Macaca mulatta: one gene and its partner. The protein of the gene in region 1 purifies or fractionates together with the protein of each later gene. This does not show direct contact. Links are inferred from orthologs where the notes say so. Each region holds a gene or a part of one and is shown on either strand. Other genes may lie near its edges.

Region 1 (5,960 bases):
TTTTGGCTCGCTGCAACCACCACCTCCCAGGTTCAAGCGATTCTCCTGCCTCAGCCTCCCGAGTGGCTGGGATTACAGGTATGCGCCACCACGCCCGGCTAATTTTTGTATTTTTAGTAGAACAAGGTTTCTCCATGTTGGTCAGGCTGGTGTCGTACTCCTGACCTCAGGTGATCCACCCTCCTAGGCCTCCCAAAGTGCTGGGATTACAGGCGTGAGCCACCGCACCTGGCCACGTCACTGAGATTTTTAAAGTTGTATATTACCACAGCATAAACTGGCTTATTATTACAGGTATAGACACCTTTTTCAGGCAAGAGGCATCAGATAGCCTGTGAGGCAAACCAACCAACCAACCAACCAACAAAAAGGCTCTCTTGTCCATTTTAGCTCATTAGTTCCAAGAATTAAGGAATCATGATTTTTAAAACATAATTTATACATTATTGCCAAAATGCAAGCAAAGGAAGCGCTTAATGGACCTCGAATTATTTAAAATACTAATAAAGCCAACTTTCAATAGAACCTCAGACATACTCTCTTCCTTAAAAGATCATTTGTCCCAATTTGAAGAAAGTTTAAAGCTACCAAGTGCTAAAGAGCGATCTTATGGGCATATTAGTATCTAATCAACACCCTCCCATAACCTGGTGTAATCAGAAATAAAAGAAAAATGAACATGGGGGAGCTTTGGAGGGAACTGTGGGCAGCTGCCTGGAACATACTTATGTAGGGACAAATCTGGCAACTTGACTGTCCTCTGGGCTCTCTAGAACTGGCCTCCTGAGTTAGGGACAGCCTCCTGCACTGATGGTTGCCTTACAGGCCAGCTCTGTGCTGTTTTTGTAATTCGTGCAATTCCACCTCAGATCTCATTCACATCAGCTCACACTGCAGGATAACTTGACGTGGAAGTACAATGGGTGGGAGATGGTGGCTCTCTTTAATGCATTCCCCTAGAGTGACAAGAGCCATCCAACAAAGCATCCTCAGTTCTGCCTGCTTCAGCATCACAGGAAATCTGATGTTTCCAGCCAGCTGGTTGAGCTGCCTTAACTAGAGCTCACCAAGCAGACTATAAAGTCCCTAAATGCAGGACCTGTATTTTACTCATCTGTGAATAGCACGGTAATTACTTACAAGCCTGCTTTGAATTCAGTCAGATTCTGGCTTGAATATTGATCCCACCACTTAATAACTGGGTAACCTTGGCCACTTAACTTCCCTAACCCTGCTTTATAGTTTATAAGATAGGAATGATAATTCCCCATTCCTTTGACTTGTGGAAATTAAATGGGACACGTATACAAAGCTGCTAGTGCAGCTCAAAAGTCTTAGTTGAGTGCTTGGAAGAACAGTGGATTCTATCCAAACAAGGGTATGTGATCTCAGAAGAGACCGTGTGTATCTCTTTATCAAGACGTACAGGCTGGGCGTAGTGGCTCACGCCTGTAATCCCAGCACTTTGGGAGGCTGAGGTAGGAGGATCACTTGAGCCCAGGAGTTTGAGACCAGCCTGGGTAACATAGTGAGACACTCCCATTTCTACCAAAAAAAAAAAAAAAAAGAAGAAAAGAAAAGAAAAAAAAAAGCTAGGCGTGGTGAAGATCGCTTGTGCCCAGGAGTTCGGGGACTGCAGTGAGCCGAGCCGTGATCATATATTACACTCCAGCCTGAGTGACAGAGCAAGACCCTGTCCAAAAAAAAAAAAAAAAAAAAAGCTATTAATACAAACATGTATACGTTTGTGATTGTGTCACAGTGGCAGTTTAAAGGAGAAATCCTTTGCCAGAGGTTGCAAAAGCTATAAAAGTTAGAGTGGAACAGTGCTTCAAGGGAAGAGATTGGTTTTCATTTTATCTGCATTGTTTGAATATATAAGTACATGATAACTTCAATAGGGATACCAAAACAAATAAATAAATTTTAAAAAGAACATGAAAGGCCAGGCGCAGCAGCTCACACCTATAATCCCAACACTTTGGGAGGCCGAAGCAGGTGGATCGCTTGAGACCAGCCTGGCCAACAGAGCAAGACCCGCCCCCCTCACCCCCCTATAGAGATAGACAAAAAAAGAAAAAAACTTTTTAAAAAGTACATGTAATTTAAAATGAATACAACTTTTTAGAAATGTTGGGCTGGCAGGGTTGCCGGCTTATTTGGTGAGTCTTTCACCTCGTTTGGAGATAGCGAGAGCAACGAAGAGAAAACATTAATTACCAGGTATTGGTATTAATACGGCGGCTCCATTCCCACATGGACCTGGGGGGACAAAAACTCCTAATCTTGGACAGCTGCGCCCAGCCCTTCTTCACCTGCGGTCCAGGTATCATCCTAGTCTTCCCTCCGTCTCTGGGGTGGGTCGTTTCCAACCCTCCGCCCTGGTCCAGGCCACTGAGGGAAGGGAACAAAACTAAGGCCGGGAGGGCCGGGCCCCAGCCTGGAGTGTGTGGCTCCGGGCCTCCCCCGGGTGCGGCAGTTACGGCGGTTCCGGAGCCGCGGCGCCCAGGGCCGAGGGGCGGGCCCGAAGCCGCGGCCTCGCCTCCGCCGCGCCGGCCGCTCCCGCCGCTCCGCGGCCTCCCGGAGACACGCCGCCATGCTGCAGAAGCGGGAGAAGGTGCTGCTGCTGAGGACCTTCCAGGGCCGCACGCTGCGGATCGTGCGCGAGCACTACCTGCGGCCCTGCGTGCCCTGCCACAGCCCGCTCTGCCCGCAGCCAGCCACCTGCAGCCACGGTCAGGGCCGGGGCGGGGACGGGGCCGGCGGGAGCGGGCGGGACTGGGCGGCTGCGGTGACGGGGTGAGCGCGGCCCAGAGGCGGAGCGCCAGCGGCGGGGACACCGAGGCGTAGGCCCCGCGGCCTGCGCCCGCCCGCCGGCCTCACACCCAGCCCTCTGCCGGTCGGGACCCAGCGGCCCAAGTCCGCGGCTTCCGGGGTGCCCCGCCCGGGACTCCCCGACTGCTCCGCTCTGTCCAGTGGGAGAGCCCGAGAGACCCGCACCCCATCCCGGAGACCGGGTGGCTTGGCTCCTCAGAGGGGCCCAAGGGCGCGGAAGCCGAGCGTTCCTCCCGCCGCAACCTCGCGCGGCGGAGAAATGGGGAGGTCCCGAGCCGGGAGCCCCCGGGAGCTGCGGGCCAGCTGCTGCCGCTGCGAAGCTGACATCATCTGCTTTGCAGCCACAGGTTTCCTGACCTACCCGCACTGGTGCCCCAGACTTTCCCGCCCGTGGAGAGCCTCTTCACCGTAGTTTTGTGAACTATCTGGGCCCGCACTGGAGAGGAAAGTCACGGGGAGGTTGGACTGGGGACTCCTGGGCCCCTGTCCTTGGTTTCTAGGCTGCAAGGGTGGCCGATAGAACGATGCGCGCGTTACTGGCTCTCTTCCCCCATGGGAGGATGAGCATGGGATGGGGGTCCTTGTCAGCGAATGTTTGGAATCCTCCAGACATTGTGATTAAGATGAACATTTCAGTTAGAGCTTGGCTAACCGGCTCTCAGATACGGGCCTGGTGGAAACCCCACCTCTGCCCGTTGCTTGCACGGATCATTTTCTCCATTCAATCTTTCTGGCTCTTGGAGGCTGCTGAGCACGTGCAGAAGCTTGACACAGAGCCAACTTGAAATTGCTGGGCATCATACACAAGTGGTATAAATGTGGGGGTGCTTCATTTGAATGTGTTTGTCAATGATGAGGTAACACTGAAATATTCAGGTTATGCTGAAAATGTGCTTGTTCGTTGTTAAATCAGTCATCCTCTCCGGCACCTCTGGCAACACCATAAACCACGTTGAGCTTGTATTTATTACAGCTTCAAAAAAAATTAGGGTGCTCAATATACCTGAACTTTGGGTCTTTTAAAAACTCCCACCGTGGAGTTAAGACTGGAAGTTATTTTGTATGCCAGAGCACCGTGACATTTAAATAAACCAGGTTTGAAAACATTGTCTAATCTCTTACATTTTGAATTATGTTCCAGATGGGAAACTCTTGTCTAGTGATGTGACTCATTACGTGATCCCAGACTGGAAAGTTGTTCAAGATTATCTTGAGATCCTTGAGTTTCCTGAATTGAAAGGAATTATTTTCATGCAAACAGCTTGTCAAGCAGTGCAGCATCAAAGAGGCCGGAGGTATACGTTTTGCATTCTTTATTTCTATATGGCATAGGTTCCCCCCCACCTTAGAAAAGCTCCCTTGTTGGAGGAGGATGGGAGGAATTCATTATTTTGTCAGAAAGGACTTTTTAAACTAATTTTGTATTCTCTTTGATAGTGAGGAATGCAGTAACATTATTTTATATTTCTGCTGCAACACCTGGCCAAGAGATCTGACTGTAGATCAATAAACTGCAGTGTCCCCAGTATGTGGGTATTTAAGATTCTAGTGTGAATTGGCTTTTGGCTTGCATTTTTATAGTGGTAGGGTTACTGCTTATTTCTTGTTGATAATGTGTATTATTTAATCTTATTTATAGATACATTGTTTCAGAAGCATACATTCTTTTCTTGGGGAAAAGAGTACTTTATTTTTAAATTTTAGACTCCTTTATTGGAGATGCAAATTGTAATGATTTATTCAGTAAAACCAGAAATAGCTTGTTTTATTTTTAGATTACTAGTGTAACTACCAGCCATAGTCATTGTATTTGCTAAACAAAGCATTTCCAATTGAACCAGTCTAAAATTCTTGCCTTGTACTTAAATGAAGAATAGTTGTCTACTTTTTAAACAAATACCTTAAAAAACGATTTCGCTTCCTTTAATGTTGAGAAAGGTTTATGACTTGAACTTAAGACTGTATGGAAATAGCATATTAGAATTATATGTCCAACCTCTTAACACTCTAAGTTATTTAATAAGCACAAACTATGCATTTATTCTTTTTTAAAATGTTGTGGTTTCTTCAGGCCTTGGTAATAAAAGATGAAGTGTTTTTATTTGTATATGAAAATGACAAATTGTCCTCTTATTATACACTCAGTTCAAAAAATGTACATTAACCAGATTGTGTGCAGGTTTTTTTCAGACAGAATATTTTTAAATGAGCTTCAAGTTGATTTTGTTCAGACACCAAGATATAGATGTTTATACAGATCCAAATTTAAATGCTGCTCCAGGTGTCATATTTCAATTTCTGCTACTAAAATCAATTTGTTGTTATCATTCGGATTGCTAACACACTGCGAGCCTTTTCAACTTCTGTTTTCTAAAATATTTTTAATGTTAAGGATTGTTTTAGAAACCAATTTCTGGGACATTCAAAGACAAAGAGTTGGAATTTAAACGTCTTTTCTCCTGAACATTTCAAGAGTAGTTAACTTGATGAAAAACTATTGGTTTTCCACTGCCTTACCATGTCTTTGAATATACTAAATGTGAAAACAAAAGATGAGGATTTATGAAATAGGGCTATATGATAATACCCTGATTTTGTTTGTTGGGTAAGCACTTTTTAAGCTCTTAGTTCCAGGCCTTGGGGAATAAAAAAGTTGTTTTTTGTTTTGTTTTGTTTTGTTTTCTTGAGATGGAGTCTAGTTCTGTCGCCTGAGTTGGAGCACAGTGGCATGATTTTGGCTCACTGCAACCTCCACCTCCTGGGTTCAGTGATTCTTCTGCCTCAGCCTCCTGAGTAGCTGGGATTACAGGCACCCGCCACCACGCCCGACTAATTTTTGCATTTTTTGGAGAGATGGGGTTTCACCATGTTGGTCAGACTTGTCTGGAACTCCTGACCTCGTGATCTGTCCACCTCGGCCTCCCAAAGTGCTGGGATTACAGGCATGAGCCACTGCGCCCGTCCCAAAAGAAGCCTTAGTTCCTCTCATAACAAGCCTATTATCTTGCTGGGGTTAGATGGAAGAAGCAAGACAGTTATTATGAAGCACCTTAGACACACGAAGGATAATTTAATGTGGACGATGCTAAGTGCAGGAGTAAACGTGGGGTAGAGGGATTAGGCCG
Region 2 (5,707 bases), on another chromosome or scaffold:
TGGGACTTCCTTCACCAAATACTCTGGTGAATGTAATAAAACTTGGGGGGAGGTTGTGTAAGGTGATGGTTAGGAGTGTGGGCAGGAGAGCTAGACTGCCTGGTCTCAAGTCCTGGTTCTGCCATTTACCAATGATGTAACCTGTGACCCTGGTTAAGGCATTTAACCTCTCTGTGCCTCATTTCCCAATCTGTAAAATAGGGATAAAAATACTTGCATCATAAGGATGTTGCAAGGACCGAATAATTTTTTTTTTTTTTTTGAGACGGGGTTTTGCTCTTGTTGCCCAGGCTGGAGTGCAATGGCGTGATCTCGGCTCACTAAAACCTCTGCCTCCTGCGTTCAGGCGATTCTCCTGCCTCAGGCTCCCGAGTAGCTGGGATTACAGGCATGCACCACCATGCCTGGCTAATTTTGTATTTTTAGTAGAGATAAGGTTTCTCCATGTTGGTCAAGCTGGTCTCAAACTTCCAATCTCAGGTGATCCACCCACCTCGGCCTCCCAAAATGCTGGGATTACAGGTGTGAGCCACCGCACCTAGCCTGGTTAATCTTTATAAAGTGCTTAGAACAATGCTTGGCTTACAATAAGTACTATGTAAATTAGTGTTGAAAATTAGAGTATAAGGTTTTAGAATACACAAACCTACAGAATAGTATGCCCCAATTCATTTATTCATTCAATAAACGAATCTAATAGTGATGGAAAAACAAGATGGTTTAATACTGTGTCATCCTTGACTTCTTGATTTTTTTGGGTTATCATATGTTCTTTGAATTACTTCAATACACTAAAAAATAACTCTGAATTTATGGATTTTAAAGATGTCCAATGCACTGTTACAGCAAAGGTGATAAAAATGTTGTGGCAGCATTTAAGCAGATGATTAGTGAAGATTGTCATTGTTTTAGCAGACAATTTAAAAAGGAACATTCTACTGTTTACATCTCTCTTACCTACTTAGCCTCATATATAAGACATCATTCATAACATTATTTAGCAAATACTGCAGACCCTTGTCCAGTATGGAATTCCTGTCAATTGTGAGGGGTGGGCAGTTCAAATACATGTTCTATATGAAAATCTTTATATAAAGATGACTCCATGGTATCTGAACTCAGGCTTTTCTTCCTGTGTCTTTCTGATCTGTCCATTTGCTGTCACCTCTTAAATCCTTAGTCTCCTCAGATATCCTAGCTTCTAAAATCCCACTTCCAGCGTCTCTCCTTTCTGAGCAATCTCTAGCACATCTAGAAAATGTCATTTATAACATTAGCGATCTCATGTTATCTTATCACACACAGCTCCTCACACAGAACCCAGCTGTCCAACCACACACAAACACACTTATGTGCCACAACAGGTGGGGCACCTGTGCCTTCATTAGGGAGGAAATCCTTCCGGCTTCACCTCTTTCAGTTCCCTGGAAGGCAAAGTCCAATCCTGCAAACTGTCTTCCTTTTAGGTGCCCCTGCAGAGAATTATGTACAGACATACGAAACATCTAATGTCCAGTCTATGAAGAACGGATCATCAATTTTGGAGCTCAGCAGTTTAATGCTTAAGAATGTTAGCAAGTACTTCCTCTCTATAACCTTATCAGACGACCTCCCAATCCCACTGTGCTCACTGATGCCACCATCATAGCTCTAATCACCATGATCTGTGGTTATGTTGGCCCCGGAGCCTTCATCTGCCCAGGGAACTTCTCCCGGCATAGTGTGTTTTACTTGTCTTGTGTTCTAGAGGTAGCACAAAGCCTGTCTATAGTAGGCTCCCAATGGTTAACTGAAACTGTATTTGAAGCCATTATCTGATAATACCAACTTTTTTTTTTTTTTTTTTTTTGGTTCATCAAGCTGATTAGGGTTACTTTCACTTTTGAGAACAGGGAGGGTCCTCAAAAATGGAACATCAGGAAAGTCATCAGACTTGCTTTAACCTGCCTTCCTTGCTTCAACTAATTTGGGTTAACTTTTTCCCATTTATCCACACGGCGCCTTTAAAACTTGCACCATACTTGTCCGCCCCGCCTTAATGAGTTCCTTTGGTGACCCCAGCTTCACCTTGCAGATATCCTCTCCAGGTATCCAATACCCATACTCCCACTCGGCCATAGCAAGGGGTTGGGGTTGGCTTTTTTTCCGGCAACTGCTCACAGCTTCCATCAAGCCGGGGTTTCCAGTTCCCGCTAGGAAGCGTCGGGGACGTCCGGGCACTGCGCACCTCGGCAGCGCCGGTTACCAAGCGCCTCCTCCCCCCTGTCTGTGGGACAACGCTCTGGTAAGCACCCGAGGCAAGAGGTCCCAGCAAGGTACTGGGACAGCGTTTGGTCATAGAGAGTGAGCGAGCCAGCGAGAGATATTCCTGGGTGGAGGGGTGGGGACGCCTTAGGACTAGTGTCCCCCACTCCCGGACCCTTCCCACCGAGAGCTACCTACAGAGGGCTGCATCGCCTCTCCTCTCCTCTTCAGTCATCCTAGGGACTAGAGAAATGGAGGAGAGAAGAGCGGGGAAACAGCACCCCCGGGCCAATCACGACGTCCGCCCCTCCTTAGTCGGGGTCTCTCTCTCTCTCTCTCTCTCTCACACACACACACACACACGAGCTCCTAAGTCAACTCCAGCTCTGAGTAACTACGCCGCACGCCTCTCCCACTGGGAGTCCCCCGGCCCGTGTGGCTCGCCTCACCCCAGCTTCTTCACCCCAACTCCGGTTTCCCTTCCCAACTGACCGTGAAGCCGGAGGCAGTTCCCAGTCCCAGACCCCGGTGGGGCTCCCGCCGCGGCCGCCGCTGCCTTCCCCTGCAGTCCCCAACCCGGGACCCGGCCTCGGGCTACGGCGATGGCTCCTTGGAACGAGGCGCCGCGGCTCTCTGGACTCGGCCAGACACCGGGCGGCGCGCAGGAGAAGCCCATCGAGCTCCCGGCAGTGGCGGCGGCCGCGGCTGCAGGAGCGGCCGCCGCACAGGTTGATGACGCGCTGACGCGGTGGGTGGGACGTGGGGGTGCGGTCCAGAGGAGGCGACGCGCGCAGATGACGTGCGGCTTGCGGGGCTGTTCGGCAGCATGGCGTCCGTGGCGCTGAGCGAGGCGGAGAAGGTGTACATCGTGCACGGCGTCCAGGTAGCGACAGCAGCGGCGTTGGGTCGGCCGCCGGGTTCAGCCTGGCCCTGCGGGTCGCGGCCTGCCCTGGGTTTGCCAGGGAGGAGGCAGCCGAGCTGCGGCGACTGTCCGTTTACCTTGTGATTAAACGGCTCTGCTGCCGGCGTTTGCAGTTCAGAGCTGGCAACGCGGACGTTTTTAGGACTGTTAGCGCATTTGCAGTTTTGCGGGTCTATAACATTCCGAACCCGGGCAGGAAGCGTTGGGCAGTCCCGGAGGCCTTTTCTTAGTGAGAGAGCATCGCCCCCGGGGCCATCCATTCGGCATTCGCGCACATAACTGGTCCGAGCCTCAGTTTTATCTTCGAGGAAATGGGAGTTTGGAGTTGGGCTTCTGGCCTGCTTTTCCTCACCTCGTGGTTAGGAGGGGCATGCTAGGTGAACGCACTTTGTAAATACAAATTGCGGTACAAATAAAGGGGGAAGAGTTTTTAAAAAGCGGCTAGGACGCCTGTAATCCCAGCATTTTGGGAGGCCGAGGCGGGCGGATCACGAGGTCAAGAGACCGTCCTGGCCAACATGGTGATACCCCGTCTCTGCTAAAAATACAAAAAAAAAAAAAAAAAAAAAAAAAAAAATTAGCTGGGCGTGGTGGCGCGCTCCTGTAGTCCCAGCTACTTCGGAGGCTGAGGCAGGAGAATCGCTTGAACCCGGGAGGCGGAGGTTGCAGTGAGATCGCGCCACTGCACTCCAGCCACTGGGCGACAGAGTGAGACTCCGTCTCAAAAAATAATAATAAATAAATTTTAAAAAGCGGCTAGGCAGCCGATAGCGTAAGTGCTGTTTCCATTTTGCCAATGGAGAACTAAGATCCCTAGGCAGCTGTAACCTAATGTCCTCTGTGTTCTATGTTAAACCCCTGGTTTTGACCACTCGAGAACGAGGGTTGAAACATGTGGGACCTGGAAACGAGCTACCCCGTATCCCCCTCTGGCTCTGTCTCCACTTGTTAACCCACGGTGTGGTCCTCCTATCAGAGTTCTTCATCCCATCCTTGGCAGAGTTCTGGCGACAGCCCCTACCTCTTTTCCTCATGCCTTTCTTCTGTCAGTACCAACTGCAAAATCAGTGGTCCCGTGATATAGCCATCAGATTGAAGCAACCAGCTATCATTAAAGTTCCACAACGTGAGTTAAGGACATTTCCATTTATAAAAATCGTGACCTACTGTTATCTTCCGGGCCCTTTATATATGAAGAAATGCCAGTATTTAGCTTATTAAGCCTGGATAATAAAGTCAGAACTCACAGTTGCATATTTTAGTTATAATTCAGGATTAGCAATAGTGGGACATATGTGTGTATTACTTGGTAACATGTGTTATTTGTGTGTGAGGGGTCATAAAAATGCCCAAAAGCAATTAGATCTGTCTTTCCCTGCTATGTTTTTGTATACACTTTGTTCAGGTGATTTTTATCCTCAAAGTATGATTTTTAGGCACACATTAAGGATAACCATTTTCCTCTAAATTTAAAAACCTTTGGTTTTCTTTCTTTGTTACCGCAGCTTAGCGTGATGTACTGACTCTGTCATGTGTCGTATTTTCTCTCACATTTCATCTCTGAAAGTGGCACTGAGGCATGGACATATCTGTAACTTCAAGGTTAGAGATTTCTCCCCAGCATCCTTAATTCCCATGGCAGTTCATTAGCTATCTAGCAGCAGAGTCCCACCATAGTCATAAATCCTTTATTACTTTATAATGAGTAATAAAATCATTTATATTTATAACACACCTGTTATCTGCTGGGTGCTATGGGGGAAGAAAAGACTATAAGCCTCAGTTCTGATCCTTGAGATGCCTAGGATCTAATTTGGGCAAAGTTAATTAATTTTATTTACCAACATATATCTAGCCACTGGCATGTTATGTGGGAAGCAGTAGGGATGCTAAAACATGGTTGTGAAATAAATGAAAGATAGGAGGGAGACAAACAGAGAGTAAAAGTGAATAAAATAAAGACAAAGGTAATAAGATCTATGCCAAGGAAGTGGTATAGTTAGTGGAGGTTGAAGAAGTTAAAGTATACCAGGGGCCCGGCATGGTGGCTCACGCCTCTAATCCCAGCACTTTGGAAGGCTGAGATGGGAGGATCGCTTGAGCCTAGGAGTTTGAGACCAGCTTGGGCAACACAGTGAGAGCCCATCTCTAAAGAAATATGTATATTTTTTTAATAAATAAAAAGAATTCCAGGGACTTGTAATGCTCTGGAGGCTTCCCTAAGTAGGTGGAATTGTTCCCCTAAATCCATGTCAGGGATTCCTCCTCTGTATCTTCAGGACTCAGTGTTCATTCATTCAACACAGAACTGAGCTAGACTCGGGCTAGGAAGAAACCTGTTGTTATATAGCTCTCATGCTAGAAGGAAGATGCAGAAATTGTAAATGTACTTGAGTGTTTATATATAAAATTGTACTAGTGCTATGAAGGAAAAAACAGGGACACGATCTAGACTGGGAGGTCAGAGGAGTCTTCCCTAAGGAAATAGCACGTGAACTGAGCTCTCAGCATGACTGAGAATTAAGCAGGCGTGAGTGTTCC

What was found. The genes of interacting proteins can lie anywhere in the genome.
Region 2: the proteins of DIS3L (region 1) and EXOSC7 purify together in Homo sapiens (affinity purification with mass spectrometry; 3 studies listed by BioGRID and IntAct, counting the BioPlex papers as one, with this or other methods). This does not show direct contact. The link is inferred for Macaca mulatta from reciprocal best matches to the Homo sapiens genes DIS3L and EXOSC7.

Annotation. Positions count from the first base shown.
Region 1 is NC_133412.1:43,766,750-43,772,709, forward strand, and holds the start of DIS3L (DIS3-like exonuclease 1), read left to right. Parts: upstream 1-2,543; 5' UTR 2,544-2,596; coding exon 2,597-2,735; intron 2,736-2,818; exon of another isoform or gene 2,819-3,094; coding exon of another isoform or gene 3,095-3,182; intron 3,183-3,976; coding exon 3,977-4,130; intron 4,131-5,960. UniProt on the Homo sapiens protein: Catalytic component of the RNA exosome complex which has 3'->5' exoribonuclease activity and participates in a multitude of cellular RNA processing and degradation events.
Region 2 is NC_133407.1:108,316,920-108,322,626, forward strand, and holds the start of EXOSC7 (exosome complex component RRP42), read left to right. Parts: upstream 1-1,834; 5' UTR 1,835-2,038; coding exon 2,039-2,284; intron 2,285-2,736; exon of another isoform or gene 2,737-2,978; intron 2,979-3,036; exon of another isoform or gene 3,037-3,070; coding exon of another isoform or gene 3,071-3,127; intron 3,128-5,707. UniProt on the Homo sapiens protein: Non-catalytic component of the RNA exosome complex which has 3'->5' exoribonuclease activity and participates in a multitude of cellular RNA processing and degradation events.